Linked DNA regions of Anolis sagrei. The protein of the gene in region 1 purifies or fractionates together with the protein of each later gene. This does not show direct contact. Links are inferred from orthologs where the notes say so. Each region holds a gene or a part of one and is shown in the gene's direction. Other genes may lie near its edges.

Region 1 (7,585 bases):
CATCCTGTGTATATGTATTTCTGCATGCTAAATGCAATCTAGGAGAAAAAACTTCTGCTTTATTATCTGACTGTAAAATACTAAGTACAATCGCATTAAAATTTACCTTTGCTATGGGTAATGTTTGTGAAACACCATTTAGAAATGCAACGAGCATGGGTAGATGTCCTGTTACATGCAAAATATTTTAAGTTGCTATTTTGCCTTCTTTTGCCTTGCCCGATTTTCAGCATGCGGTGGAATCATGACCGCATCATTAAACAGGTCTGATTCCCATAAACATTTGGTGTCTACTTCATGGTTGATGGGAGATAAATACAGAGGGTTCTCCCAGACAGACTGCCCCCAGTCTTAACAATTAAGGTCAGTCTTAACTTCTCTTGCCACACTATCCTTTAAAGGGTGGAAATAGAGTGTGCATCCCACTTTAAATCCTCTTGCGGAATGTTGGGTTTTGTAGTGTAGTGAGACCCAGGACCTTTCTGGCTGAGAATTTTAAAGGCCCCTCCCTGGTATAGTTATATTGAAAGTATTGGTTGTGTTACATATATGGAGACCAGGGTTCAAGTTCCTATTTGGCCATGGAAGCTCACTGAATGACCTTAGACAAGGAGACCCTCTCATGTGGGTTTCTTGGCATTATTTGTTCACAAGGGGTTTGCCTTTACCTTCCTCTGAAAACAGAGAAAGTGACTTGCCCAATGTAACCCAGTGGATTTCCATAGCCCAGGGGGTATTCAAACCTTGGTCTCCAGAAAGGTAGTTCACACTAGCTCACTTTCAGTTTTGAAAATGTAATCCAGTTATTAATTCCAATATGTATGTTACTTTCCAATAGCTTTTTTTTTACTTGTTTTAAAAAACTCTTTGAATTAATGAAATAATGACAAAATATATGGACTGCACCAATAAATTAAAGTAATTTCCTACCGATTGTATTGCTTTGGAAGTGCAACATTGTTATAGCTTGTTAGCCAAAAAGGTAATTACAACAACCTATTACTTCTAAGCTCTGATTTTGCACTTTAACTTAAAAGAGAGACTTATAGCTGAGCCATGTGAATTTTCTGTCCCTACCTTTTGTGCACTCACAGCACTTTCAGTTAATAGTACAAGTGTCGTCAACTTGCGTCTCTCTATAAATAGTTGAACAGTACCTCTCATCTTCTCTTATCTCCGGCAACAATAGTTATGCTGATTGGAATTTAAAGGAAGGAAAGAAAGAAAGAAAGCCACAACTCTAATATTCTGGTTTTGGTAGTTAATGTGGATTTTAGATTTCTGGATTTCCAAACTTCTCAACATCTAAACATTATACACTTTTTACAAATTATTTTATTTTGCCTATAGTTTTCCCTCCCCTGAAATTGGCTGATAATTGTATTGATTGTGAAATAAATAACATGAACTGGACAGGCAGGAATGCAGCCTAGCATTAATATGAATTGAAAAATCTGTAATACATTAAAGCTATTCCTTGGCCCTTAAAAAGCTGTAACCAATTCATATATGAGACGTAGACTCACACTCACTTGGATTTTTTAATGCTTTGTCAAGAACGGAGCAGAAAGATATGGACTAAGAAGCACTAATTTATAAAGATATATATAATCAAACATTTCATTAATTAACAAAACACCCCTGGCTCTTTCTTTCCACCGGGACTGCTGGGACTATATATTTCTCTTTTCCTTTTAACTTCTTCACTGTTGTGGAATATCATATAGCTGAACTACCAGCTCCAATTTATAACCATTCTTTTTCTGCAACTGAACCCCTGCAGTACAGTCAACCAGCACAGTTTAAAGCCCAACTTCACATAGGTGAAAAAATCAACCAAATATTGTACATGACCATTTCTGTTCCCCAATACTATGTTGTGTAGCGGCTTGATCAGTTGATTATGACTCTGAAGACATAGGTTTGAATCCCCACTCAACTATGGAAACATACTGGGTGGCCTTGGGTGAGTCACATTCTCGCAGCCTCAGAGAAAGTCAAAGATAAAACCCCTTTTGCCAAGAAAAGGTTACACAAACCAATCTTTTTACACAAACCCCTCTGGATTTTTACCTGCTGAAGAAGTGGATGAGTTGTGATACCTAGGCCCCTTCTACGTTGCCATATAAAATCCATTCAGCCCAACCCCCTTCTGCCATGCAGGAACACAGATTTGAAAGCGCCCCCAACAGATGGCCATCCAGCCTCTGCTTAAAAACTGCCAGAGGGGGGACTCCAGCATGCTCCGAGGCAGCAGCATAGTGCTGCTCAATAGTGGAATATGCTGTTGAGCAGCACTGACTGTGAAGAAGTTCTTCCTGATGTTTAAGGGAAATTAAACCCTTGCTGCCAACCTTTGTGTTTCCATGACTGCTAAATAATCTTATGGAAAGGAATATAATTACTCATGACTAAGTGTTATGAGTAAGAGTTGCCAGGCATTGTTGACATGCTTACCAGTTTTAAATAGTCTTCCACTTTAATCCTCGCTATGTTTATTTGGAAGGGAGTTCCAATGTGTTCTTTATTCTATAATAAAGGCACCTTATTGATTGCAATTTTATCACGCCTTTGACTTCTATTACAAGGCATTTCCACTGATGTATTGACACATAAAGAAGAGCAGAAGTTATTTGGTTCAGCTTTTAAAACTGGACGTTTTGGCCCAGTGTAATAGACAAGAACATGATTGAAACAGGGCTATTGAAGACTGTTCATGTTACAGAGCAGGCATGTCCAACCTGCGACCTGTGGGCCAATGCAACTCAAGAGGACTATGAATGCGGCCCAACAAAACAAATTTGTAAACTTACTTAAAACATTGTGGATTTTTTGGTGATTTTTTAAAATATAATTTGATTGAATGTGAACTTTTGTAGATGACAACAGAATTAAATATCTTGCTAGTTTTATGTTGCCCCTTTTTCTTTAGTTTTGTCATTCAAAAATGTTTTTAAAATAATGAAATTTTATTACACAGTCTTCAAGTTACAAATAAGACAGGTTCTTCTGATTGTCCTTAAATTGAATTTGTATGTAAGTAGAAACAGGTACATTTTAAAAGTGTAACTCCAGCCAAATATATATTAGCTTTGGATAGCACAGGGAAGGACTAACACTCCTATGATGTTTGTTTTATGGACTGTACCCCTCTTCAGAGGATTTGACCTCACTTTCTGTCTCAGTGATAATTGGATTTTGAAAAAATTAGCTTGTTATGGAAGCAAGGTTTGGTGATAAATCTTCAGTGGAGACACCTTTTCCCCAAGATAACTCTTCCAAGACTGAATTTCCCTTCATGGGGTAGATTTATCTCAGATTGTTGTTGTTTAGGTTAATTATACCCTGCTTTATCTCTCCTGAAGGAGACTCAAAGCAGCTTACAATTAAAAGCATGACCACATAATTTAAAATTCACAAATATGTGAACAATAAAACAGAATTAAACAGATTTATGCCTGATGGAGCAGGCATACTCAGCTGTTGAGTAAGACAAGGCCAGGTTCTTATTAATTTTGGCTCTGCACCTGATGCACTATTAGCAAGTTTCCGCAGGATGTCATTGTGTGCAGCTACTTTGTGCTTGGTGTTCACACAGTGTTTCCTAAAGGTTAGCGTTAAGTCTGAGGGCCCTTTCACACAGTTCTTGGCCTTCCCAGGTAACCTTCAGTTTCCTGTTGGCTTCACAATTATATTGATGGCAAGCACACACTTGTGTCTTGGCAAGGTTAGGCTTCAGAAGGGGAATACTGTGGAATAATGTCAGTTATATTTGGCGAGGCATTAGCACTATTTAGACCTTGCAAAATGACACCTCCTGTGATTTCATAGCATTGCGCCAAAAAGTGGCCAAAGTGATGTCAAACTGCATTCATCCTACACTGTAGATGCCACAACCATGAATAACTCCTGCCATCGTCACTACACCCAGATGTTACTAAGCCAGAAGGTCCTATTCGCCAATGATGAGAAAAATGTTGTTGTTGTATTGTCGAAGGCTTTCATGGCTGGAATTGTTGTAGGTTTTTTCAGGCTGTATTGCCATGGTCTAGAGGCATTCTCTCCTGACGATTCGCCTACACTTTGGCAAGCATCCTCTGAGGTAGTGAGAATGTTTTTGTTGTTTATTTGTTCAGTCACTTCCTACTCTTCTTGACCTCATGGACCAGCCCATGCCAGAGCTCCCTGTTGGCCGTGGCCACCCCAGCTCCTTCAGAGTCAATCCAGTCACTGCAAGGACACCATCCATCCATCTTGCCCTTGGTCGGCCCCTCTTCCTTTTTCCTTCCATTTCCCCCAGCATCATTGTCTTCTCTAAGCTTTCCTTTCTTCTCATTATGTGGCCAAGGTACTTCATCTTTGCCTCTAATATCCTTCCCTCCAATGAGCAGTCGGGTTTTATTTCCTGAGAAATATATTGGAGGGAATATAGTTTATGGCATTTTTCTTTAAATGGATCCAGAAAGACTTTTCAGGAGTTTATCTTCTTGCACATGCGCCTGCTGCCACCACAGACTTCAAATCCACCCACCCCCTCTGGTGACAGCCCTTAGAGTGCGCATGCGCTCTTCAGCATCCTTTTTTCCCCCGCCCTTCTCCTCGCACCCCATGGTGGCCTCGCGAGAGTACGGTGGCGGAAGTTGTTCTGCGGCGCTCCCCTGCTGAGGGCGAAGAAGCCGCTGAGGCGGGGCCGCGGAGAGGAAAGGAAGGAAGGGAGGAAGGAAGGAGAGAGGGACGGGCGGAGGGGGCCGCTTGGAGCGGAACCCCAGCTGACTTACGGTAAGGGGTGCTTGGCCTCGGCCGGGGGTCCGCCCTGGGGGCTTTTCCCTTGGCGGCGGACGCGCAGAGCGGTTGTCGGGGGAGGGGAAGGAAGGGAACGGGAAGGAGGCTGGGGTTCGCCTATGCGCGCGCGCTCGCCTCAGCTGCCTTTCAGTGTGTGAGCGCGCGCGGCGCGGGAAATCGAGGGGAGTCGGGTGGTGCTCGCGCTCTCTGATCTCCTCGTCGTGCGAATGACTCTGCTGCTCCTTGAGAAATGGACACTGCGAGATAAATGCCTTGAGTGGCGGAGAATCTTTCCAGAGTTGGCCTAGTAATTATTAACTTAGGCTCAATGTACACTACTATATCATGCAGTTCCAAACTGCATTATATGAGTTTACACCGGACATGGGCAAACTTCGGCCCTCCAGATATTTTGGACTCCAACTCAGCTGTAAAGTTAATACAGCTTGATAGCACTTTAACAGCTGTGGCTCAATGCCAAGGAATCCTGGGAGTTGTCATTTTACAATTTATTATTTACCATATTTATATCCAGCCCTTCTCAACCCTGAAGGGGACTCGGAGTGGTGCACATAAAGGCACATGCAAGGCCTTTAGCCTTCTCTGCCAAAGAGTGCTGGTGATTTGCCAAACTACAAATCCCAGGATTCCATAGAATTGAACCATGACAGTTAAAGTGTTATCAAGGTGCATTAATTCTTCAGTCAAGATCCAGCCAAGGAAGCCATGGCTATCCAGGGTCTGCAAAACCTTAGCACTGTTCTTGCTGAAAGAGTGACACAGGGCATCCCATAAGTGACAAACCTCTAAGAACCTTTCCACACAGCCATATAATCCAGAATGCCAAGGCAGAAAATCCCACAATATCTGCTTTGAACTGGGTTATCTGAGTCCACATTGCCAAATATCCCAATTCAAAGCAGGTAATGTGGGATTTTATTAAGCTTTGTGGAAGGGACCATAAATGACAAACCTCTAAGTCAAAGTCAATTTGGCGGCAGTTAAGAACAGAACCTTTAGGGTGGTTGTTCTGATCTCATAGTTTCCATGTTGCATTATGATACTGAAATGAAATTCTCTTATAACACATGCTTAGTGTTAAAGCAGAAGTTGCGGTCAGCAGTTTTCTGTAAAAAGTGGTGGGACATGTATGAGGAAGGCAAAAATTAGAAGCAACATTTTGAATTGTCATTCACATTCACCTATTCGGGTGGTGGGAGTAGGCTTGTGTGTCTCTTCATAGATGTCGCCTTGGCAAAAAAGACTGGGAAGGAGTTTTGGCAGTTCCTTCCTTTGAAATATAGCATACTGCATCTGGTGGTCCCTGTCAGTTTGCCACTTGAGTATTAACTAGAGCTGACCCAGATTAGCTTTCAAGATCAGACAGAATCTGTACCTCCTCAGAAAATAGAGACTTCAGTAATGTGTTTGTATCAAAACTTTGGGAATGCAGGAATCTCCTAGGATTCACAGAATGGTTTCAGAGCAAAGGTAAAAATAGCTGTTGCATTGAAGGGGGATATTTAGAGAATCTTTTTCTGTGAATGCCTGAAACTTACCAAAAGTTTTATACAATCCCAATTTGCTTCCAATATCTTAAAAATGATCCAAGAAAAGACATAAAACTGCCAGAGCCCTCTAGCCAACTTAGCCTGTGGCTAAGAGTTTCCAGGAGTTGTAGGCCAAAGTAATGGTTCCAAGTTTTGCTTTAATTGTGCATATTAAAATGACATTGAGTACATCTATACTGTAGAATCAATGCAGTTCCCTGGGTCTGTGCTATGATTTGTAGTTGAGGCACTAGCACGCTTTGACAGATAAGTCGAAACTGTAACTCTCATGATTTCCCAATATTGAGTCCTGCTGAGCCTAGTGATGTCAACCTGCATTCATTCTATAGTTTAGCTGCACCCATTGCTTCTTAAAATTGTGTGCTGTTAAAAGATGCCTGGTGTCAATTCAAAATATAGAAGAAATGTTTCCCATTTGGGGAAAAACCCCAAGGCTTTATACCCTAAAAACATACTACAGGACACCCAAATTAATTTATTCTTACCCCTGGGCTATGACTTCCATGAGATATCACTGAAAAGAAATGTATCCTTAGTTAAGAAACCTCTACCTCCTCAAGATGTTCTGTTTTTTTTGTTTAGTTTTGTTTGTTTGTTTGTTTTGGTTTTTTGTTTTGTTTTTGCTTCAGGCTAATTTCTTGTGATAAACTGGTAGATACTTTTTCTGGCAAACATAGCAAGTCGGCTATGTAATGTTATCCCTACAATGTAATGCAAATCCCCAATGCTTAGTTCCTGCAAGATAATAAGGCCTCCTCAAAATAAGTTTATGTATGTAATTTGACCATTGGCAACCCCTGCATATATTTTGATAACTCTGCAGTGGGTCATTTAGTGTAATGTTTTACAATAGTAGTTTAACTCATGTATACTTTAGTTTAACTCATTTCAGTTTTTTATTTTATTTGGGAAAGGGATGTGTCTAGTTTCTAAGGAAGGAGCTCCTACTCTTCTCTAGAGCTCCTACTCCACATTATAATAATGCTTTTCTGATAAGCCTTCAAGTCTTGTAGTGAACCTATTGCAGGGTTTCCTTGGAAAGGTTTGTTTAGAGTGGGGTTGTCTTTGTATTCATCTGAACCTGAGAGAGTGTGACTTGTCATAAATCAGGAGTGTCAAACTGATGTTCATTAGGGGCCATTTCAGCCCTGTGGTTGCCTTCAAAGGGCCGATTACTCCGTAGATCGATAACCCATTGTTACAAAGGACTACATATAATTTTTAAAACACAA
Region 2 (7,733 bases), on another chromosome or scaffold:
TTTACACTCTTTTAAAGCGCATCCATGGGAGGATTCTCACAATCCTACACTAATCCCTGACTTAGTTCAGATTGACCTGGAGTGTTCTCACAAACATTCATGCATTTTAAGAACATGATTTCAAGTCTCTAAAGGATCAATGGAATTAGTCCAGGACAGGAGGGAAATGGCTTCCCACAGCTTGCTATTACCACCACTGTTCCTTACAGCAAGGATACTCAAATCTGCCAGCCCAAAATAAAAATTAGTCTTGCATTTTACTGATACCATGCTAAAAAAAGCAAATCATGGATAAACAGCTTTGTGAAACAAGAAACTGGCATACCATTGGGGACCTAAGGATTTGAAAGAAAGCCGAGGGAATTAGTAAGAGAAATAAGCTGTCTAAATTGGAGAAATCCACAAAAATACAATCCCAGTACTGGTGTAAAAATAGGTTTCAGCATCCAACTCTGCTTTGCCAGCATTTAGTTACATTTGATGAAAGCTCATCATTGTGGAAGAGTCAGCTTTCTCCTCCTCATCTGACCCCAATTTTGCAATCTCAAATATTTGAAGGCTCTGAACAGATCTCCTGCTTCAAGTTTAGAAGCTTAGCACCACAACACAAATAAAGGAGACATTAATTGGAAAGGAATAAGAAGGAAGATCGTGGCTCAGTGGCAAATAACATGTTTTGCATTTAGAAGCTCCAAAATTCAATGTGATATCAGGAAGAATGCATGGGAAGAAGATATATGAAACCTGGACAGTCAATGCTAGTCAATAACAATACGAAACTATGCTGAACAAAAGGATTGTCTCCATCTTAAGATATCTAAATATCCTGAAAACACCTGATCCTATATTATTTTGGCAGCTAAGGAAGGCGAGTCCTGTTTGGAAAGAAGTTCGCCAACAACTAGCCAGTGATTTAGGCTATATTTCAGAGGAAGGAACCGGCAAACCTTCTCTCAGGATTCTTTGCCTAATAAAACCCAATGAAATTTATGGGGTTGGACCAATTGAAATTTCCGGGCCGTTTTCAAGGTACAGCTTACAAGTCCAAAACACCTGGAAGGCTCAAGTTTGCCCATGCCTGGTCTACACACTGATCTAACATTGGCTATGGGCCTAGCACTCAACATTAAAAAGGGGGGGGGGGGTATGGATCTCCCCAGAAGATCTTAGTGTTCGAGGTGATCTATAGGGGAGAAACATTTGGAAAGGTAAGCTGGGCCAGAACCATTTGGGACTTTATAGGCTAAAGCCAGCACTTTGAATTGTGCTCGGCAGCAAATTGGCAGCCAATGGAGGTAACGCAGCAGGGGGGTTGCACGCTCCCTGTCCACCAAAAAGCAATCCGGCTGTTTTTTTTCTGTGTCAGGAGCAACTTGAGAAACTGCGAGTCGTTTCTGGTGTAAGAGAATTGGCTGACTGCAAAGATGCCCAGATGTTTTGACGTTTTACCATCCTTGTGGGAGACTTCTCTCATGTCCCGACATGAGGAGCTGGAGCTGACTGAGGGGCTCATCCGCACTCTCCCCAGATTCAAACGTCCAACCTGTTGGTCTTCAGTCCTTCCGGCACAAGGATTTAACCCACTGCGCCACCGGGGGCTCCTATATCATTGGAGTACTTGAAGCTTCTAAGCAGTCTTCAAAGGCAACCCCATGTAGAGCACATTGCAGTACTCTATGTAGTGATATAACAAGAGCATAGGGCAAAAGTATGATATCTGGGACTCAATGCTTGTTGTGTAACGTGGCTCAGAATTAGAGAAGTGATATCCGGATAGCCTAAATCAGTGTGTAGACCAGGCATGGGCAAACTTGGGCCCTCCAGGTGTTTTGGACTTCAATTCCCACCATTCCTAACAGCCTCAGCTGCTTTCCCCCCTCAGCTGCTTAAGCTGAGTGAAATCACTTTAAAATCATCCAAATAAACCAGTATATATTTTATGAATTTAACATGTGGCTTTTTATATACTACAGCATTTTATTTACAGCTGCATGTCATGAACCTTTTTGAAGTGGACTGTGACATGACATTCTGCAATACTTGCTGAATTTAACACTATTTGTGTCTTAGTATTTGCACTAAAATGTGCGATGCAAGGCCAGAAAGTTTTTTTTGTTCTTTACAATATGTTCTGTCTACTTGATCTTTATGAAACAAATTGCAAATTGGGCCCATAACCAATGTTAGGTCAGTGTGTAGACCAGGCATGGGCAAACTTGGGCCTTCCAGATGTTTGGGACTTCAACTCCCACCATTCCTAACAGCCTCAGGCCCTTTCCTTTTCCCCTCAGCCACTTAAGCTGAGTGCTGGGTCCATAGCCAATGTTAGGTCAGTGTGTAGACCAGGCGTGGACAAACTTGGGCCTTCCAGATGTTTTGGACTTCAACTCCCACCATTCCTAACAGCCTCAGGACCCTTCTTTTTCCCCCTCTGCCACTTAAGCTGAGTGCTAGGCCCATAGCCAATGTTAGGTCAGTGTGTAGACCAGGCATGGACAAACTTGGGTCCTCCAGAAGTTTTGTACTCCAACTCCCACCATTCCTTACAGCCTCAGGCCCTTTCCTTTTCCCCCTCAGCTGCTTAAGCTGAGTGCTGGGCCCATAACCAATGTTAGGTCAGTGTGTAGACCAGGAATGGGCAAACTTGGGGCCTCCAGTTGCTTAAGCTGAGTTCTGGGCCCATAACCAATGTCAGGTCAGTGTGTAGACCAGGAATGGGCAAACTTGGGCTCTCTAGATGTTCTGGATTTAAACTCCCACCATTCCTAACAGCTTCAGGCCCATTCCTTTCCCCCCTCAGTTGCTTAAGCTGAGTTGTGGGCCCATAACCAATGTTAGGTCAATGTGTAGACGAGATATCAGCAAACTTGGACCCTTCAGATGTTTTGGACTTCAACTCTCACCGTTCCTAATAGCTCCAAGTCCTTTCCTTTTTCCCCTCAGCTATGTAAGCTGAGTGCTGGGCCCATAACCAATGTTAGGTCAGTGTGCAGACCAGGCATGGGCAAACTTGGGTCCTCCAGAAGTTTTGTACTCCAACTCCCACCATTACTAACAGCCTCAGGCCCTTTCCTTTTCTCCCTCAGCTACGTAAGCTGAGTGCTGGGCCCATAACCAATGTTAGGTCAGTGTGTAGACCAGGCATGGGCAAACTTGGGCCTTCTAGATGTTTTGGACTTCAACTCCCACCATTCCTAACAGCCTCCAGACCCTTCTTTCCTCCCCTCAGCCACTTCAGTTAAGTGCTGGGCCCATAGCTAATGTTAGGTCAGTGTGTAGACCAGGCGCAGGCAAACTTGGACCTTCAAGTGTTTTGGACTTCAACTCCCACCATTCCTAACAGCCTCAGGACCCTTCTTTCCCCTTCTTTTCCCCCTCAGCCACTTAAGCTGAGTGCTGGACTCTTCTTTTTCCCCCTCAGCCACTTCAGTTGAGTGCTGGGCCCATAGCCAATGTTAAGTCAGTGTGTAGACCAAGCATGAGCAAACTTGGGCCTTCCAAGTGTTTTGGACTTCAACTCCCACAATTCCTAACAGCCTCAGGACCCTTCTTTTCCCTCCTCAGCCACTTCAGTTGAGTGCTGGGCCCATAACCAATGTTAGGTAAGTGTGTAGACCAGGCATAGACAAACTTGGTCCTACCAGCTGTTAGGAATGGTGGGAGTTGAAGTCCAAAACACCTGGAGGGAGGGCCAAAGTTTGCCCATGCCTGGTCTAATTTGAAGTTGATGCTATTGTTATTTATTATTAATGCTAGGTATTACTATTGCTTCTCACACGGCGTCCCCGGGTCTCTTTATATTTCTGGAATGTCTTCATTGATTCTGAATGGAAAGGAGGCCTTGTAGGCCTCACGGGCCCTTCCCCCGCCTTCTGGCACGCCGCCTCGGCCTGTGTCCGTTTGTTTTCCTTCTCCTCCCGCACATCAATAACTAACCTGGCACAGAAGAGCTGGCCTTTGTATGGGAGGGCAGTTTTCACCCCAACTCAGCCACCTTCATTCATCCTCACTCTCTTCCGCTTCCTTCCTTCCTCTCCCCACTCAAAACACAACACGGGCGCATCACCGCTCTCGTTTCCCCATATCCTTCCGCCTCCCTTTCTCCCTCCTCCCATAAATTCCCGCACTAACAGCGGGATAAGCGTCTCTTTGTCTGTCCAGACCGAAAGGCGCGCCTTTGGGCACCAAATCCGCCCTTTTTTGAGTCCAAAACACCAAACGTTGAAGCGGACTCATTTCCGACAGCGGAAGGATTCCGTCAATTGGAAGGTGTGATGCGTCTCTGCTTTCCCTCACTGAACGGTCCATGAGCGCGACGCATGCCGGGAAATGAGAGCTGTAGAGTCCTCGGAAGGCGCGGATTGGACATCGAGAAGCCACGCCCCCTTCGGAGAGATTGAGGAATATGCCTACTTTGTGGTGCCCGCCTCCTCGCGATTTCGGAGGCCGCTGATTGGACGGAGAGAAGCCACGACCCTTTGCCACGCCCCCTTCGGAGAGATTGAGGAATAGGCCTACTTTTGTGGTGCTCGCCTCGTCGCGATTTTGATTGGACGGAGAAAAGCCACGCCCCTTTCAGACAAAAAAAAGAAAGAAAGAAAAGGACGCCGTATTTCCACCGCTATTGATTGGACGAGGAGATAGCCACGCCCCCGAGAGAGAGAGGGAGAGAGAATGGGAGTGAAATGCGCACGCGCCCCAAAGTTTCTCGCAATAGCAGTAGCAGCAACAGCTGAGAGCACACGCCGGGGGAAAAGGAAAAAGGATGGGCGCATGCGTACGGGCGCGCGCTCTCCCTCCCTTCCCTCCCTCCTCCGAGTGACGGTTGGTGGCGCGCGAAAGTGGGCGGAGCCTGGCGCGAGCCCTTTTTAGTTTTATTTATTTTTTTCCCTCGCGGCGACCGGTAGTTCTCTCAGGAGTTGGGGAGTTGCTGCTGCTGCTTTCGCGTGAGGAGGAATCCCTGCTCTCTCTCTCTCTCTCTCTCTCCCACAACAGGTCATTATTTACTATTTCAAAACTTATATATGTCTATATATCTATAGTCTTTAGTAAATATATCTATATGTCTTTAGCAAATAATTGCCTGTTCTGAGAGATACAAATATATATCTGGGAGATATAAAACATATATATATATATATGTTTTATATCTCCCAGATATATATTTGTATTTCTCAGATATATATTTGTATCTCTCAGAACAGGCAATTATTTACTACTTTTATATATATATATATATATATATATATATATGCATATATATTATATTATATTATATATGTATATTACACTATATATATATATATATATATATAAATATAGTCCAGCTATATATTTATATCTCTCAGAACAGGTCATTATTTACTATTTGAAGACTTATATGTACATATATCTATATAATATGTATATTCTATTATATATTAATATTATATTACACACACATACACACACATATATATGTTTTCTATCTTCCAGATATATATTTATATCTTTCAGAACAGGTAATTATTTATTATTTAAAGACTTATATATGTACGTATATCTATATAATATGTATATTATAATTATATATAATATTATTATATTATTATATATAATATGTATATTATATTATATGTGTATATTACATTAAATTATATATATAATATCTTCCAGGCAATTATTACTATTGAAAGACTTATATGTGTACATATATCTATATAATATGTGCACTCTATTATATATTAATATTATATTACATATATGTATGTATATGTTTTATATCTCCCAGTTATATATTTAGATCTCCCAGAATAGGTCATTATTTACTATTGAAAGACTTATATGTATACATATAAGTATATAATATGTAAATTCTATTATATATTAATATTATATTACATATATGTTTTATATCTCCCAGAAATATTTTATATCTCTCAGAACAGGTAATTATTTACTATTTAAAGACATATATGTACATATATCTATATAATATTATATTCTATCATATATGTATATTATATTAAATTTATTATATATGTGCATATATATATAGAGAGAGAGAGAGAGAGTATCTTCCAGATATATATTTGTATATCTCAGAACAGGCAATTACTAGTTAAAGACATATATGTGCATATATCTATATAATACATATATTATATTATATGTGTATATTACATTAATATATAATATATATAAGATATATAATATCTTCCAGATATATATTTATATCTCTCAGAGCAGGTCATTATTTACTATTTAAAGACTTATATGTACATATATCTATATATGTAAATTCTATTATATATTAATATTATTGTTTTCTATCTCCCAGATATATATTTATTTCTCTCAGAATAGGTCATTATTTACTATTTAAAGACTTAAATAGTAAACAAATATCTATATAATATATATCTATATAATATGTGTATTAGATATACGTATTATATATATGTTTGTGTGTATGTATGTATGTTTTGTATCTCCCAGATATATATAATTTATATATCTCAGAACAAGTAATTATTTACTATTTAAAGACTTACATATGTGTGCATGTGTGTGTATGTATATCTATATGTATGTATGTGTGTGTGTTTTAAGAAACTTTAGTTGTGTCGTCTGAGGGACAGAACAACAGGCCTTGAGGATAACGGGTTTTTGATTCCAAAGGGGGTGAAAGGTGGAGGTAAATTAGACACAATAACAGGGGACCGAAGGGGCACTTCCCCACCTTTTCTGTCTCCTTTTTGTTCATCTTTTCCTCTAATGCAGGACTTCCTGCTCTGAGGTGGAAATCTGAAGGGTTAAATGCCCATTCTTCAGCCCATTTCGACTCCACTCAGTTTTTCTAAACTTGGATGGAAAGTTTGGGCTTGGAGCGAGGAGGGCTCCACCCTCTTTCCCTCTCTTTCTCTCTGTCTCTCCCTTTAAAGAGAAAACACCATCCAGGAGAAAGCAATGCAACACTACTATGAGGTGGATCTGGGACAAGCCCGTAGCCAAGGGAGAGATTGAGGGGTTTAAACCACCCCCGAAATTTTTCAGGTCAAAATGTCGAAGTCTTTCATGGCTGGAATCACTGGGTTGCTATGAGTTTTCCGGGCTGTTTGGCCATGTTCCAGAAGCCTTCTGTCCTGACGTTTTGTCTGCATCTATGGCAGGCATCCTCAGAGTTTGTGAGGTCTGTTGCAAACTAGGCAAGTGAGGTTTATATATCTCTGGAATGTCCACGGTGGGAGAAAGAACTCTTGTCTGTTGGGGGCAAGTGTGAATGTTGCACATTATAAATACATACATAGAGGCATGCAATCTTCGAAATTCAACAATCAAAATACAATTTTCCCCCAATCCCATCAGCTCCCCATTTTCTCCCAAAAACCTCGACCCTTGACTTCTCTTTAAATAATAATACAACGGTACAGGAATACTATTAAATATTTATATCTCAGTATGTTCGAGCACATAGTCATTTTCTCTTGGTTATCATCTGTCTAAGGTTCTCAAAAGTATTCATTTCATTTTTTTTCATTATCCTGTATCCCAGTGTTTCTTAACCTTCCTAATGCCGTGACCCCTTAATACAGTTCCTCATGTTGTGGTGACCCCCAATCATAAAATTATTTTCATTGCTACTTCATAACCGTAATTTTGCTACTGTTATGAATCTGATATCCAGGATGTATTTTCATTCACTGGACCAATTTTGCCCAAATACCCGATACGCCCAAATTTGAATACTGTTG
Region 3 (7,711 bases), on another chromosome or scaffold:
GATGGGGACGAGGGATAGAGCCTTCTCGGTGGTGGCCCCTTGACTCTGGAACTCGCTCCCCAAGGACATTAGGCTGGCCCAACTCTGGCAGTCTTCAAGAGGAGCCTGAAAACGTTGTTCCAGTGTGCCTTCCCAGAATAAGGAAACCCTAAGCAACATGCCCCTAATCGCACTTTACTAATGATCTAGGATTGTCTGCTCGCTCCATCTCTCTCCAAATACCTATCCTAGTTATATGTCACCTTGTCACGCCCAGCATTTTTAAAAAAAGATTAATTATTACATTTGACCCTGCCATAGGTTTTTAATGCGTTGTTGTGTTATTGTTACTGTTTATTGGTTTGTTTATGAGTTAGTTTATTGTCTGTATTATTGTTGTTGCTTTTTACTGATGTATTTAGGCTCGGCCTCTTGTAAGCCGCACCGAGTCCTTCGGGAGATGGTAAAAAGGTAAAGGTAGTCCCCTGACATTAAGTCCAGTCATGTCTGACTCTGGGGTGTGGTGCTCATCTCCATTTCTAAGCCGAAGAGCCGGTGTTGTCCGTAGACACCTCCAAGGTCATGACTGCATGGAGCGCCGTTACCTTCCCGCTGGAGCGGTACCTATTGATCTACTCACATTTGCATATTTTTGAACTGCTAGGTTGGCAGAAGGTAGGGCTGACAGCGGAAGCTCACGCCGCTCCCCGGAATTGAACCTGTGACCTTTCAATCAACAAGCTCAGCAGCTCAGTGCTTTAACCCACTGCACCACCGGGGGCTCCCTTTCGGGAGATGGGAGGATTATTATTATTATTATTATTATTATTATTATTATTAGGAGTGTGTTGATGTTACTATTAGAATCAGAGTAAAGTTGTGATGCAAGCTCCTTATATTACCTGTTAACTTTTCAGATCCAAATCATGCAATCTGATATTAAGTACATACATTTGGAAGAAAGACATAAGGAAGTAAATGTGACAAAATTTGGTTCATATTTGTAAAAGTAACGCCTGCTTTCTCTATGCTGCCAAAATAATGTGAACAGACTTGTGGAAAGAGATCTACTGAAAATAATGGAAGGAGCTATGAAAATGTTACCTGTAATATTGTACCTCTAATACGGAAACCTAGGCAAGTCATCACTATACTGGTGTGAACCAAGTTTTATTTGCAAAGCAATATGTGTGTGTTTCCAGACTTTGACAGAACATTGACCCTCATGTTCCCTTTATTAGTACAGATTAGTACAAATGCAGTGTACTTACTTGTGCCTTACTAACATTGCTTATTGTGTTTGGCTTCAATTGCCTGCTTCCTGAAGAGCAAGAGAGAAATAAACTTTATGTTTCAAACTTATAAACTGCCTGGTACAAAAGGTCAGCAGGGTTGCATACCATAGCAGATGCCCAGTATAACTGCAAGTTGGGAGGCAACTCTGTGGATGTAATTTAAAGCTGCTATAGTCTAAATTTTAAAAAAAATGTGAAATTGAACTGTACGTTGCAGAAAGTCTAGAGACATAATATACCGATAGTAGCACTTTTTCTTTGTTGTAGTCGTGTCTATAACTTAAAAGCACCACTGAGTGTGAGAATGCACTCGTAGACTGTCATCCCGTTTGGATATCAGCCAGCACGTCAACGACTTAAATCAAGAAATAGTTTTCTAAGATCTACAGAGACACTCGCTGGAACACTTCAGCAAGTGAGAGTCCAAAAGTGGCAGGCTCAAACCCAGAACCTCAATCAATGGCTGATACCAAATGAGAGACTCCCCCCTGGGCACACAGAGGACTGGGCGACTTGGAAGGCGCTGAACAGACTGCGCTCTGGCACCACGAGATGCAGAGCCAACCTTAAGAAATGGGTCTACAAAGTGGAATCCACGACATGCGAGAGCGGAGAAGAGCAAACCACTGACCACCTGCTGCAATGCAACCTGAGCCCTGCCACATGCACGATGGAGGACCTCCTTGCGGCAACACCAGAGGCACTCCAAGTGGCCAGGTACTGGTCAAAGGACATTTAATCAACTACTCAGCTCGCAAACTTTGTGTTTTGTTTGTTTCTTTGTTTTGTTAAAGAATGCAATGCAACTGGTCTGCCCCTGACACGATAAATAAAATCTGCTTCCTTGCAGAGTCTACATTTGAGATTATTATTATTATATAGCCCGAAAAACCTACAATATCCCAGTGATTCCAGCCATGAAAGCCTTCGACAATACATTGTCCCCTTTCAGTTTGGCTAATGCAGTGGTTCCCAGATGTTTTTGCCCTTAGAATCATAGAATCAAAGAGTTGGAAGAGACCTCATGGGCCATTCAGTCCAACCCCCTGCCAAGAAGCAGGAATATTGCATGCAAATCACCCCTGACAGATGGCCATCCAGCATCTGTTTAAAAGCTTCCAAAGAAGGAGCCTCCACCACACTCCGGGGCAGAGAGTTCCACTGCTGAACAGCTCTCACAGTTCTTCCTCACGTTCAGATGGAATCTCCTTTCTTGTAGTTTGAAGCCACTGTTTCGTGTCCTAGTCTCCAGGGAAGCAGAAAACAAGCTTGCTCCCTCCTCCCTGTGGCTTCATCTCACATATTTATACAGCCTTCTCTTCTTCAGGCTAAACATGCCCAGCTCCTTAAGCCGCTCCTCATAGGGCTTGTTCTCCAGACCCTTGATCATTTTAGTCGCCCTCCTCTGGACACATTCCAGCTTGTTAATATCTCTCTTGAATTGTGGTGCCCAGAATTGGACACAATATTCCAGGTGTGGTCTAACCAAAGCGGAATAGAGGGGTAGCCTTCAACTCCCAGAAGTCCTAACAGCTGGTAAATTGGCTAGGATTTCTGGGAGTTGTAGGCCCAAAACATCTGGGGATCCCAGGCTGAGAACCACTGTGCTAGTGGTCCCCGTTGGAGGTCGCCTCTAACCCAGAAAGACTCAGCCTCTGTTGTCGAAGGTTTTCAGGGTGGGACAAAGGACTCTTGTCTGCTGGAGCTAGGTGTGAATGTTTCAACTGACCACCTTGATTGGCATATAATGGCCTGACAGTGTCTAGAGCAAACTTTTGTTGAGAGGTGATTAGATGTCCTTGTTTGTTTCCTCTCTGTTGTTGTGCTGTTGTAATTTTAGAGTTTTTTTTAATACTGGTAGCCAGATTTTGTTCATTTTCATGGTTTCCTCCTTTCTGTTGAAATTGTCCACGTTTGTGTATTTCAATGGCTTCTCTGTGTAGTCTGACATGGTGGTTGTGAGAGTGGTCCAGCATTTCTGTGTTCTCATATAATATGCTGTGTCCAGGTTGGTTCATCAGGTGTTCTGCTATGGCTGATTTCTCTGGCTGAAGTAGTCTGCAGTGCCTTTCATGTTCCATGGTACCTCTCTATTCTGTTTTAGTTAGACCTCGCCGGCAATACTGTGCCCAATTCTGGACACCACAGTTCAAAAGAGATATGGAGAAACTGGAAGGTGTCAAGAGAAGGGCAACTAAAACGATCAAAGGTCTTGAGACCATGAATACCTATGAGGAGTGTCTTAAAGGGTTTCATATGTTTAGCTTGCAGAAGAGAAAGTTGAGAGGAGACATGATAGTCGTGCATAAATATGTGAAAGAATGTCATAAGTGGGATCAAGGAAAATGAAAGGCACTGCAAACTATTTCAACCACTATTTTCAATCAAGAAGTCAGCCATAGCAGACCACCTGATGAACCAACCTGGACACAGCATAGAATCAAAGAGTTGGAAGAGCCATCCAGTCCAACCCCTGCCAAGAAGCAGGAATATCGCATTCAAATCACCCCTGACAGATGGCCATCCAGCCTCTGTTTAAAACCTTCCAAAGAAGGAGCCTCCACCGCACTCCGGGGCAGAGAGTTCCACTGCTGAACGGCTCTCACAGTCAGGAAGTTCTTCCTCATGTTCAGATGGAATCTCCTCTCTTGTAGTTTGAAGCCATTGTTCCGCATCCTAGTCTCCAAGGAAGCAGAAAACAAACTTGCTCCCTCCTCCCTGTGGCTTCCTCTCACATATTTATACATGGCTATCATATCTCCTCTCAGCCTTCTCTTCTTCAGGCTAAACATGCCCAGCTCCTTAAGCCGCTCCTCATAGGGCTTGATCATTTTAGTCGCCCTCCTCTGGACACATTCCAGCTTGTCAATATCTCTCTTGAATTGTGGTGCCTAGAATTGGACACAATACTCCAGGTCTGGTCTAACCAAAGCGGAATAGAGGGGTAGCCTTCAACTCCCAGAAATCCTAACAGCTGGAAAATTGGCTAGGATTTCTGGGAGTTGTAGGCCCAAAACATCTGGGGATCCCAGGCTGAGAACCACTGGGCTAGTGGTCCCCGTTGGAAGTCGCCTCTAACCTAGAGAGACTCAGCCTCTGTTTTTCTCTACTCCCCCCCCCTTCCTCCTTTCCTATCTCTACCACCTCCCCCCCCCCCCCTTAAATCTCATTGGTACATCCCAGCCTCCTGCTCAACAAACACTGGAAGATCCCTTCGGAAGAAGGGGGAACAATTTAGGGGTGGGGAAGAAGAAGAAGAAGAAGGAAGTTTCTCCAGAGGTAGGAAAGGGAGGGGGAGGAGGAAGAGGGCGGGACGGGCGAGCCGCTGGGCCAATGGCAGCGACCTTCGGGGCGGGGCATCCAATCGCCGGGCCGCATAGGGAGGAAGAAGGCGGGAGCGCGCGGACGGCACTGCGCCTGCGCGGGAGGAAAAGGCGTGAGAGAGTGTGTGAGGCGGAGAGGAAAGGGGGGAGCGGAGGAAATAGCCGCGTCGCTTCGCGTGAGGGAGGGGATGGAGCGGAGCCGAGCCCTGGCCGGGAAGTTGTGCTGAGGGAGGGAGGAGGAGGAGGAAGGGAGGGAGGCCAGGGCGAGGCGGAGGAGAAGGAGAAAGCCGGGTCTCTTCCGCCCAGAGAGGCCAGGAGGGAGGATGGAGCAAGAGGAGATCCTGAGGAAATTCATCCAGCGCGTCCGGGCCATGAAGGACACCGACCACAATGGGGAGGACAACTTCGCCACAGACTTCATGGTAAGCCTGCTGTGAGGGGAAGGGGGCGCCCAGGGGGAGAAGGCCTGCGGGGGGGGGGGAGGGTGGGGAGGGAGGCTCGAGGCCCTTCCTGGGTGCCTCCCCCTCCCCCTTTCTTTCCCCCTTCTCCATCTCTGAAAGGAAGCTGCTGCATCCTCTTCCCTTTCCTCGCAGCCTTTTCCTGTGGGTGTGTGCCTTTGCTAGGAAGCCTTGTGCAAAAGATAGACACATATTCTGGCTCTTTGCTTCTTTCTCCCCTCCTCCAGAAGTCCCCCCCCCCTTTTTTTTTGAAGGCACGCCTCTACCTTAAGAAGGGAGCAGCCCAGAGGGATTTCTTCCTTTCTGGTTTTGTTACCAGGTACCAAGGAAGGATGTGTGTGGAAATCGGGGATCACCTTCCCCTGCAGTTGGGGTCTATCAGGGCCCCTTTACTACTACTAATAATAATCTGTATTTATACCCTGCTGCCATCATCATCATCATCTTATATAAATAAAAATGTAATAATACTAATACTACTACTACTAATAATAATCTTTATTTATACCCTGCCACCATAATAATAATAATAATAATCATCATCATCATCATCATTATCATCATCTTATATAAATAAAAATGTAATAATACTAATAATACTACTACTAATAAGAATCTTTATTTATACCCTGCCACCATAATAATAATAATAATCATCATCATCATCATCATCATCTTATATAAATAAAAATGTAATACTACTACTAATAATAATCTTTATTTATACCCTGCTACCATAATAATAATAATCATCATCATCATCATCATCACCACTATCTTATATAAATAAAAATGTAATAATAATACTAATAATAATAATCTTTATTTATACCCTGCTACCATAATCTTCATCATCATCTTATATAAATAAAAATGTAATAATAATACTAATCTTTATTTATACCCTGCTACCATAATAATAATAATCATCATCGTCATCATCTTATATAATTTTTTTAATAGTAATACTAATAATAATATTTATTTATACCCTGCTACCATAATAATAATAATATTTATTTATACCCTGCCACTATAATAATAATAATAATAATCATCATCATCTTATATAAATAAAAGTGTAATAATAATAATCATCATCATCTTATATAAATAAAAATGTAATGTTCGTTTGTGGGATTAACATAACTCAAAAACCACTGGACCAATTGACACCAAATTTAGAGACAATACACCTAACAACCCAATGAGTGACCATCACCCATAAAAACACTGAAAAACACAGTGGAATAGACTTTAAAAAGCCAAAAAATAAAAAATACATTACAACGCATGTGCAAAACCACATATATACACAAACACACACATATATATATACACACACATATATACACACACACATAGAATCATAGAATTAAAGAGTTGGAAGAGACCTCATGGGCCGTCCAGTCCAACCCCCTGCCATGAAGCAGGAATATTGCATTCAAATCACCCCTGACAGATGGCCATCCAGCCACATATACACAGATTGGACCACAGCAACATGTGGCAGGGGATGGCTAGTATATAAATAAAAATGTAATGTTCGTTTGTGGGATTAACATAACTCAAAAACCACTGAACGAATTGATACCAAATTCGGACGCAATACACCTAACAACCCAATGAGTGACCATCACTCATAAAAACACAGAAACGCACAGTGGAATAGACTTTAAAAAGCCAAAAAGTAAAAAATACATTACAATGCATGTGCAAAACCACATATATACACAAACACACACATATACACATATATACACACACACACATATATACACAGACTGGGCCACAGCAACGTGTGGCAGGGCATGGCTAGTACATAAATAAAAATGTAATGTTCATTTGTGGGATTAACATAACTCAAAAACCACTGAGCGAATTGATACAAAATTCGGACACAATACACCTAACAACCTAATGAGTGACCATCACTCATAAAAGCACTGAAAAACACAACAGAAGGGACTTATAAAGCCAAAAAAATAAAAAATACATTACAATGCATGTGCAAAACCACATATATACACAAACACATACATATACACACATATATATACACACACATATACACAGACTGGGCCACATCAATGCGTGGCAAGGGATGGCTAGTAATCTATATAAATAAAAATGTAATGTATGTTTGTGGGATTAATATAACTCAAAAACCATTGGACGAATCGACACCAAATTTGGACACAAGACACCTATCAGGCCAACGAGTGACCATCACTCATAAAAACACTGAAAAACACAGCAGAAGAGACTTTAAAAGTCAAAAAAGCAAGAAGATGCTACAGCGCATGCGCAAAAATGACTCCACCTGGCAAACAAAACACACAATAGCATATCCACACTCTCTTCCAGACTACAGCTCCCAGCATCCTCTAGACCAAGCCCTTTAGGAGGGGGGGGGGATCCAAATGCATTGCTTCCAAGCTGCAAGCTTTCTTCTTGGATTTCTTTGAGAGCATCCTAATCCCTGCAGATTTCCAATTACCTATTCTTGGACTGCAACTCTCAGCAATCCTCCAGATAGATAGATTGGAAAGAGATAGATAGATCAGGAGGACTGCTGGAAGTTGCAGTCCAAGAATAGATAGAGAAGGAAGAAAGGGGAGAAAGAGGAAGGGAAAGAAAAAGGGGGATGGAAGAG
Region 4 (7,488 bases), on another chromosome or scaffold:
AGGCCTACACAGAGCTCATGATTTTGATAACATTTGAAGTAGATCAGGACACTGACTCCTTTCCATTCCAAATAACTCTTATAATTTAAAGAAAACTTTCCAATGTAGAGGAACATTGCTTCGGAATTCTTATACTTGTGGTGTTATATATGTAGAAGTGTTGGTCGAATGTGACACCTCCCACCCCACAAAGGTGACAATCAAGGTCCATTGTGTGCATGCACAGGCCAGTAGGAGGTTTTAATAGGAGTAGGAGGTATCAATAGCCAAGACTCGCCCTGCTGATTGCTTCAAATGAGCTGAGGGATGGCTGGCCCGGAAACTGGAATTCAAAGTATTGAAACACTTTGAACTCTTTTCTTTACCTCTCAAAAGACCGATTGAAGAAGATCATCACATTTTGTTCCTGAGCTCCTTGCGCTTGTTCTTCCCAGGAAATTTCCTCATTATTCAAGACTGAAACAACTGAACCAACCAAGGACTCATTTACATCTCCCAATATGGACATGGGGTTTCCAGGGCTTGCCTCTTCCCAGGAGAGCTGCCCTTCAACAGCTGATTGGCCCTTCCTACACCAATCCTCATCCACCTCCTTCCCTCCAGCAGGGAATCTCCGCCTGGAGGTGGCAATGTGATCAAAGTGCCAGCCAATTGGGGAGCGGATCCAACCTGGCCTCTCTCTTGGTCAGGAAGAGAATTGGGCAGAGCTGGAAGGCTTGACTAGCTATCAAATGGTAAAACTTCATGTCTCTGTATTCATGATTATGCTTGTACATTTGGCACTAATCATACTTGCATCCTTTCTGAGCGGATTGCTAATAAACCTTTGTGGCTACTTTCACCTGGTGAGTATTGGAAATGTCAACGTTCTTCAAGCCTTCTCTAGTAATGGTTATCTATGATCCTGTTTCTTACAGTTTCCTGTATGTATGTTCTCATGTGCAACTTCCTTTACTCCAGGTATGGGCAAACCCAGGAGTGGGGGCCTGATGCAGCCCCTTGGGTTCTTTTCTCAGACAGTCTCTCTCTCCATCCTATCCTATCCTTCCTTCCTTCTCTCTTTCCTTCCTCCTTCCTTTCCTTTCTTCCTCTGTCTCCCTCCCTCCCTCCCCTCTTTCCTCCCTCCTTCCCTCTCTCTGTTTCTCCTTCCTTTCCTTCCTTCCCCTTTGTCTTGCCCTCCCTCGAGTCCCTTCCACCCTTCCTTCCATCCATCCATCCATCCATCCATCCTTCTCTTCCTCCCTTCCATCCATTCCTCCTTACTTTTCTTTTTCCTCCCTCCTTTCCTCCTGGGGGATGTTTAGCTGGGAGAAGAGAAGGAAGAGAGGGAACGTGAGAACCATGTTTCAATATTTCAACTCACCATGGGGCCCCCAAGTTAAAAAGTTTGCCCATGCCTGCTTTACTCTATGGCTTCTGAGAAGTTATAAAAGGAGCTGCAGACCACATGCTCTTTTCTCTCTCTCCTTTTGACTATGCAACCTGCTGATAGTTGTTTTGCTTTAAGAGAGATGCCCTGGCCAGATGGCACAATTATCTGCAACATATCTGAAACTGGCTTTTTGAGCAGGTTTTCCCCAAATACAGCACAGCTAAATTTAATTATGAAACTACCTGATAATGCAATGGAATAACGATTTGACATGGAGACGCTCACGATAATGTTTTAAGGCTTTGTACAGTTTTTATATTTTTTATATCGTATGCTATTGTTTTTAACAGAATTTCTTGATTGTTTTTACTTGTTATAATTGTTGAGGCATCGAATTCTTGCCAATTTGTGAACTGCTCCGAGTCACCTCTGGGCTGAGAAGGGCAATATATATATATATATATATATATATATAGACAGAGAGAGAGAGAGAGAGAGAGAGAGAGAGAGAGAAATAAATCAACTGGACTGATAAGTTTTGTACCTGTGTATGCTGAACACATGAAGGTTGTTAGTAAACCAAATATCTTATCTTTATCAAAGTCTACTTCATTCTTGTCTGTTGAGTGCATGATATAAAACAAATTGTTTTATGGGAGAGTATATATTTTGGGCACTGAAAATGCACTTCTAAAGCTCTGCTTTTTTATACATTGGCAAATCTCTGTTTTCCTAACAAATCAGAGATAATAGGTTATTCAGTCTAACAAGTGAAACCATTGCCTTGCATAATTATATCTGGTTGTATACTACAAGAGAAGATTCTACCCTAAAGGGTTTTTTGGCTCGTCTCTGAAAAGTTATGCTTTTCTAAAAAGTTGTGATCTCCAAAAGCTGTTTTCCCAAAAGGTTATGAATATAATTTTTCAAAAGTGAGTGTGTTCTTCAATCAGGAACTTGGGGCTTTAATGTAAATGCTCGCCGGGTATGGGCCCTCTTTACCCAGGGTCCTAGTCTAAATTCGAGCTCGGAAGGATGGGAGAGAGAAAGAAGCATATAACAGAAGCTTTGACTTCTTTTGTATTCATGGATGAGGCAATATTTGAAGGGGGAATCTCCTGGTTAACTCTTAGCCACCACAATTCCCAGGTAGATTAAGTTTAGAAAGAAAACAAATACTTCTTCAATACTAGCGAGGCTGAACAGGGGTTGAATCAAATAGTTCCAGGGGTCCTTTAATGTTTCACAACTATAGCACTATGCGTCCATCTCAAGTGTCATGGCAACATCCCATAGAATCCTGGCACTTGTAAGTTTTAGCGAGGAGTATTTATAATTGCCAGTCAAAAAGCTGTAGTGCTCTACCAAACTATACTGTATATTCAATGATTTCAGAGGATGGATCATTCATTGGCAGTTAGAAGCTGAATTAGAGCTATGGTCCAAGGTCAATATTATCTATAATTCATCATTCTGGCTCAGGTTCTTTCCTCATTAGAAGTCCCACTGGCATAACGACCTCTTGTTTTCTGTCGGTTGAGAACATAAGAGGAGCTCAGATGGACCAGACCTATCTAGTTCAGCATCCTGTTTACCTCAGTAGCGAATTGCTAACCAGATGCTCAAGTAGATCATGATGGCAACATTTCTGTCTCAATGAACTGAATGGCTAGAATAACAACACAAGGCTATTTTGTATCTAAATTAACATTTATACTTTGCTTTACTCTCCTTTCCACAATTGCTATTATGAACATGTATATACGGAGGATTTTCTAGAACAGTGGTTCTCAACCTTCCTAATGGTATGACCCCTTAATGTAGTTCCTCATGTTGTGGTGACCCTCAACCATGAAATGACTTTTGTTGCTACTTCATAACTGTAATTCTGCTACTGTTATGAATCGTAATGTAAATATCTGACATGCAGCATGTATTTTCATTCACTGAAGCAAATTTGGCACAAATTCCTGATATGCCCAAATTTGAATACTGGTGGGGTGGGGGGAGGATTGATTTTGTCATTTGGGAGTTGTAGTTGCTGGAATTAAAGTTCACCTACAATAAAAGAGCATTCTGAACTCCACCAATGATGGAATTAAACCAAACTTGGCACACAGAACGCTCATGACCCATAGAAAATACTGGAAGGGTTTGGTGGGCACTGACCTTGAGGAAGAGACTTTAAAAACACCTGTCTCCTGGCTGTTGCTTATTATTTCTTTTGTGGTTTTATATTGTATTTAATGTTTTTATGTGCATTTTGATATTATGTATATGACTTGTTGCCTGTTAACCGCCTTGAGTCACCAAAAGGCTGAGAAAAGGCGGTATACAAATACAGTAAATAAATAAATAATACCCAACTTCCTGACTGTCAGAGCTGTCCAGCACACTCTCTGCCTCAGAGTGTGCTGGAAGATCTTTCCTTGGAAACTTTTTAACAGAGGTTGGATGACCATCTGTCAGGGGTGCTTTGATTGTGCTTTTCCTGCATGGCAGGGGGGTTGGACTGGATGGCCCATGTGGTCTCTTCCAACTCTAACAGCGCTCTGTGCAGTCACGTGACCTTCGAGGTGTCTACGGACAACTCCGGCTCCTCGGCTTAGAAATGGATATGAGCAGCAACCCCTAGGGTCGGACACGACTGTCTGGGGAAAACCTTTACCTTTTACCTATGATCTACACTGTAGAATTAACGCAATTTGAAACCCCTTGCTGTGGAAGATGAAAAGGAAATCCCGGAAGAGAAGAATGGGCCTGGTGGTGAGAGGGGAAGCCTGCTCCACTCACCCTTCCCGCCTCCTCCTTCTCTCGTCGCAGCGGCCATCCCGCCAGGCTTCCATTCCCACACCTTGGACCAATGGGGAGCGACGGGGCCCCGCCCACTCCTTCCCTTGGTGCCACGCCCACTCCGAGAAAGCAAAGCATGTCGGGAGAGTTGGAGCGGGCCCTCTTTTGTCTGACCAGAGACCGCGGCAAGGAAGGGGGCGTGGCTATCTTTCTCGGCGAGGGCAACAAAATAAAGACTACACTTCCCGTCGTGCATTAGGGGAAGGGAAGGGAGGGAGGGGGAGGATCAGGAGGAGCGAAGTGGGCGGGGCTGGCTCGGCTGGCAGTCCCAGCGCGCGAGCCGGGCTTCGTCAATCCGAACAATGCCTTCTCCGCCGCGGCCGGCGCCCGACGAGGAGCGGGGCTGAAGAAGAGCGCGCGCCACGGAGGCAGCAGCAAGCCAAGCAAAGCCAAGCCAAGCAAGCTCCGCTGCATCAGCCGCTGCGCTGTGTCTTCCTACTCTTGGATTTTGCAAAGCAGCCTCGTTGGCTTCGGAAGCAGAGAGGAGCTGCTACTGTCACTATTTGGGAAAAGAAACCAAACAAACCAAACAAAACAAGGGGGAACACTGAGCATGTGGATTCCTACAGAGCACGAGAAATACGGAGTCGGTGAGTGCCACAGACCCAAGTCAGGGAAGGAAAGGAAGGAAGGAAGGGGGAGATCCAATGGACCTCTCTTTTGCACATCCTTCTGCTCCTCCAACCTGAATTCTTTTATCCTGATCTTCATGGCAGTTCTGCATTTGTCTGGCTGGCTCTTCAACTGGTTAAGGTTTCCTCCCAAATTGCTGAATGACTTTGGTTGGAGGCAGGTTAAGACAATGAATGCATTGCCTTCAAGTGAAGGAAGGTTAAAGTTTCCCCAAAAATAATTCAGATTGCATTGGTTGTCTTCTAGATTAAGGTGTTCATTTAGATATGGATAATGTTGGGTCAGGTGAAGGTTTCCCTTCAAAACAAATCCATTATATTGGTTGTTTTCAAGTAGAGGCAGTTTTAAGATGTCTAGTTCTTTAAAAATAACAATTCTTGTCTTTAGTTGGAGGGAGGTTAAGGTTTCCCCCCAAATAACTAAATTATTTTGCCTTTCAAGTCTATGCAGATTAAGGTTTCTCTAGAAAAATACACGATGTTGGTTGTTTTCAATAGAGGCAGGTTAAGCTATCCAGTTTTTTAAAGAAATGTATTGTATTCAAGAGGGTTGGACTGGATGGCCCTTGTGGTCTCATCCAACTCTACCCAACTGATTCAACTGGAAGCAGGTTAAGGTTTTTCCCCAAAATAAATATATTTTTGGGACATTGAAAGGTGTCCCACTCTCTATATACATATACATTTATATATGTGTGTGTGTGTATATATATAATGTTTTATGTATATTATAGTGTATATATATATATATATATATAATATTGAAATATTCTAATATTAATATATGTTATAATATATTGATATATAACATAAAATATTATATTATATATTAATATATTAATATATTATAATACTATATGTATATATATATATATATATATAAATTAAAAAGACTATTATTGTTTTTAAGATGACAAGAGAGGTTAAAGTTCTCCCCAAATGAACACATTGCATTGATTTGTCTTCAAGTAGAGAGTGGTTCAAGTATCAAAGTATTTTTTAATGATTTTCATCAAGTGGAGGCAGATTAAGGTTTTCCTCAAAATAAATATATTAATTGCACTCATTGTATTCAGATAAAGGGAAGTTAAAGTATCCATTTTTTTAAATTGTCTTCAGATGGAGGCAGGTTAAGGGGCTCCATTTAAAAAATGCATTCATTGTCTTCAAGTAGAGGCAGGTTAAGCATTCCAATTTTTGGTGTAAAAAATGTACATTTATTGCGCTATCTGTTTCCCATCTTCCTCCTTCAACCTCCTTCCCTTCCCTTTGCGCCAAGTGTCATTTGGATAGTGTTTTAAAATGTGGCATAAAGGAAAATGGTGAGGGTTTTTTTTCCCCTTTCCCAAATTGGATGTCATGAATGGTGAAGATCGGATAGTAGATTTTGTAATAGATCCTTTTAGGGACTGTCTCCCATTAAGCAGAATCTTCTAAAGCAAAGGAACCCCATCAACTCACTCACATAAAAAAGAGCAGACTAAGCAATCTCCCACAATTGTTACAAACTGTATGTTTTGGCACAAGGTTTTGAAATTGGGGCTAAACTGCCATCTTTCGCGTAAACCGAGAGAGGCACCAATGTGCAGTTCAGTGTGCATCTCTCTCTCTGTGTCTGTGTGTGCATAGTGTTTTTGTTTTAATTTGGATAGTAACCTAGTTCCAGCGGTGTTGTTTTTGTTCTCTGGTTGAATTGAGTACAAAGGTACCTAGCTTATTACACAAGGAAGCAGGCAGGGCCGAGGTGGGATCAGTTGGGGGAAACTTGCCCTCCTCTTTGGGGCGGAGGAGGAGAAATCTGCCTCCCTCCTCTCTGCAAAAGGTGAACAACAAAGGAGGTTAGATGTTGACGGATGAATGTGGGGTTTTTCATCTCCCCCCTTCACCCGCCTCCTCCCCACCATTGATGCGCTTCTGGCTCCCTCCCCTGCCTTCATCCCTTATTGAATATTTTAAAACTTGGATTTTATTTCTGCCTCCAGACACTTTACACCCAGATCCTTCTGATGATCGTACTTTGGATTATTCATTTCTGTATATCGTGCCACCCATCTTTCCTTTTTAGCTTGCAATGCACATTTCTCAGACCGCCCCCCCCCCCCCAACTTTGAAATGGTGCAAAGATCAAGGATATGCCTCTCTGTCTTTGGATAGCTGGGACATTTTCCCCAATTCTGTTTGGGGGATTAACTATAGGGATATTTCAGACCACAAAGTGATAAAGGTTGCAACCTTGTACCCTTTATTCCCATAGCCCCACTGATTTATATCTAAGTAGATGTGTTTAAGATTGCAAGTATATGGAAGACTTCTAAAGGTTTGGAAGCTATAATAAAATATTCGAAGGGACTTTCCCTGGCTTTTCAGGTAAAGGGTATTGCAGGAATGTTGTTTGTTCTGCATTGAGATATGCCTGTGCTACTTAGTTGCGGATGTGACACCAAATCCAGCTGGAATGCAAAGACTTTTGTGCTGTGTTGTCGAAGGCTTTCATGGCTGAAATCACTTGGTGGCTGTGAGTTTTCCGAGCTGTATGGACATGTTCCAGAAACTGATCTTTCTGTCTTTTAACCATTTGCATTGTAACACCAGATCTACTGCATGCAGCCATTTAGATATGATCCCAGATGC

The links.
Region 2: the proteins of GRB2 (region 1) and PEAK1 purify together in Homo sapiens (co-immunoprecipitation; 3 studies listed by BioGRID and IntAct, counting the BioPlex papers as one, with this or other methods). This does not show direct contact. The link is inferred for Anolis sagrei from reciprocal best matches to the Homo sapiens genes GRB2 and PEAK1.
Region 3: the proteins of GRB2 (region 1) and PTPN12 purify together in Homo sapiens (affinity purification with mass spectrometry; 3 studies listed by BioGRID and IntAct, with this or other methods). This does not show direct contact. The link is inferred for Anolis sagrei from reciprocal best matches to the Homo sapiens genes GRB2 and PTPN12.
Region 4: the proteins of GRB2 (region 1) and DOCK4 purify together in Homo sapiens (co-immunoprecipitation; 4 studies listed by BioGRID and IntAct, counting the BioPlex papers as one, with this or other methods). This does not show direct contact. The link is inferred for Anolis sagrei from reciprocal best matches to the Homo sapiens genes GRB2 and DOCK4.

The regions. Positions count from the first base shown.
Region 1 is NC_090022.1:117,442,591-117,450,175, reverse strand, and holds the start of GRB2 (growth factor receptor-bound protein 2), read left to right. Parts: upstream 1-4,578; 5' UTR 4,579-4,779; intron 4,780-7,585. UniProt on the Homo sapiens protein: Non-enzymatic adapter protein that plays a pivotal role in precisely regulated signaling cascades from cell surface receptors to cellular responses, including signaling transduction and gene expression.
Region 2 is NC_090029.1:10,715,912-10,723,644, forward strand, and holds the start of PEAK1 (inactive tyrosine-protein kinase PEAK1), read left to right. Parts: upstream 1-4,730; 5' UTR 4,731-4,995; intron 4,996-7,733. UniProt on the Homo sapiens protein: Probable catalytically inactive kinase. Scaffolding protein that regulates the cytoskeleton to control cell spreading and migration by modulating focal adhesion dynamics. Acts as a scaffold for mediating EGFR signaling.
Region 3 is NC_090025.1:85,808,552-85,816,262, forward strand, and holds the start of PTPN12 (tyrosine-protein phosphatase non-receptor type 12), read left to right. Parts: upstream 1-4,692; 5' UTR 4,693-4,920; coding exon 4,921-5,019; intron 5,020-7,711. UniProt on the Homo sapiens protein: Dephosphorylates a range of proteins, and thereby regulates cellular signaling cascades. Dephosphorylates cellular tyrosine kinases, such as ERBB2 and PTK2B/PYK2, and thereby regulates signaling via ERBB2 and PTK2B/PYK2.
Region 4 is NC_090025.1:133,553,167-133,560,654, forward strand, and holds the start of DOCK4 (dedicator of cytokinesis protein 4), read left to right. Parts: upstream 1-4,479; 5' UTR 4,480-4,778; coding exon 4,779-4,815; intron 4,816-7,488. Other genes in the region: ZNF277 (zinc finger protein 277), read right to left, coding at 4,166-4,202. UniProt on the Homo sapiens protein: Functions as a guanine nucleotide exchange factor (GEF) that promotes the exchange of GDP to GTP, converting inactive GDP-bound small GTPases into their active GTP-bound form. Involved in regulation of adherens junction between cells.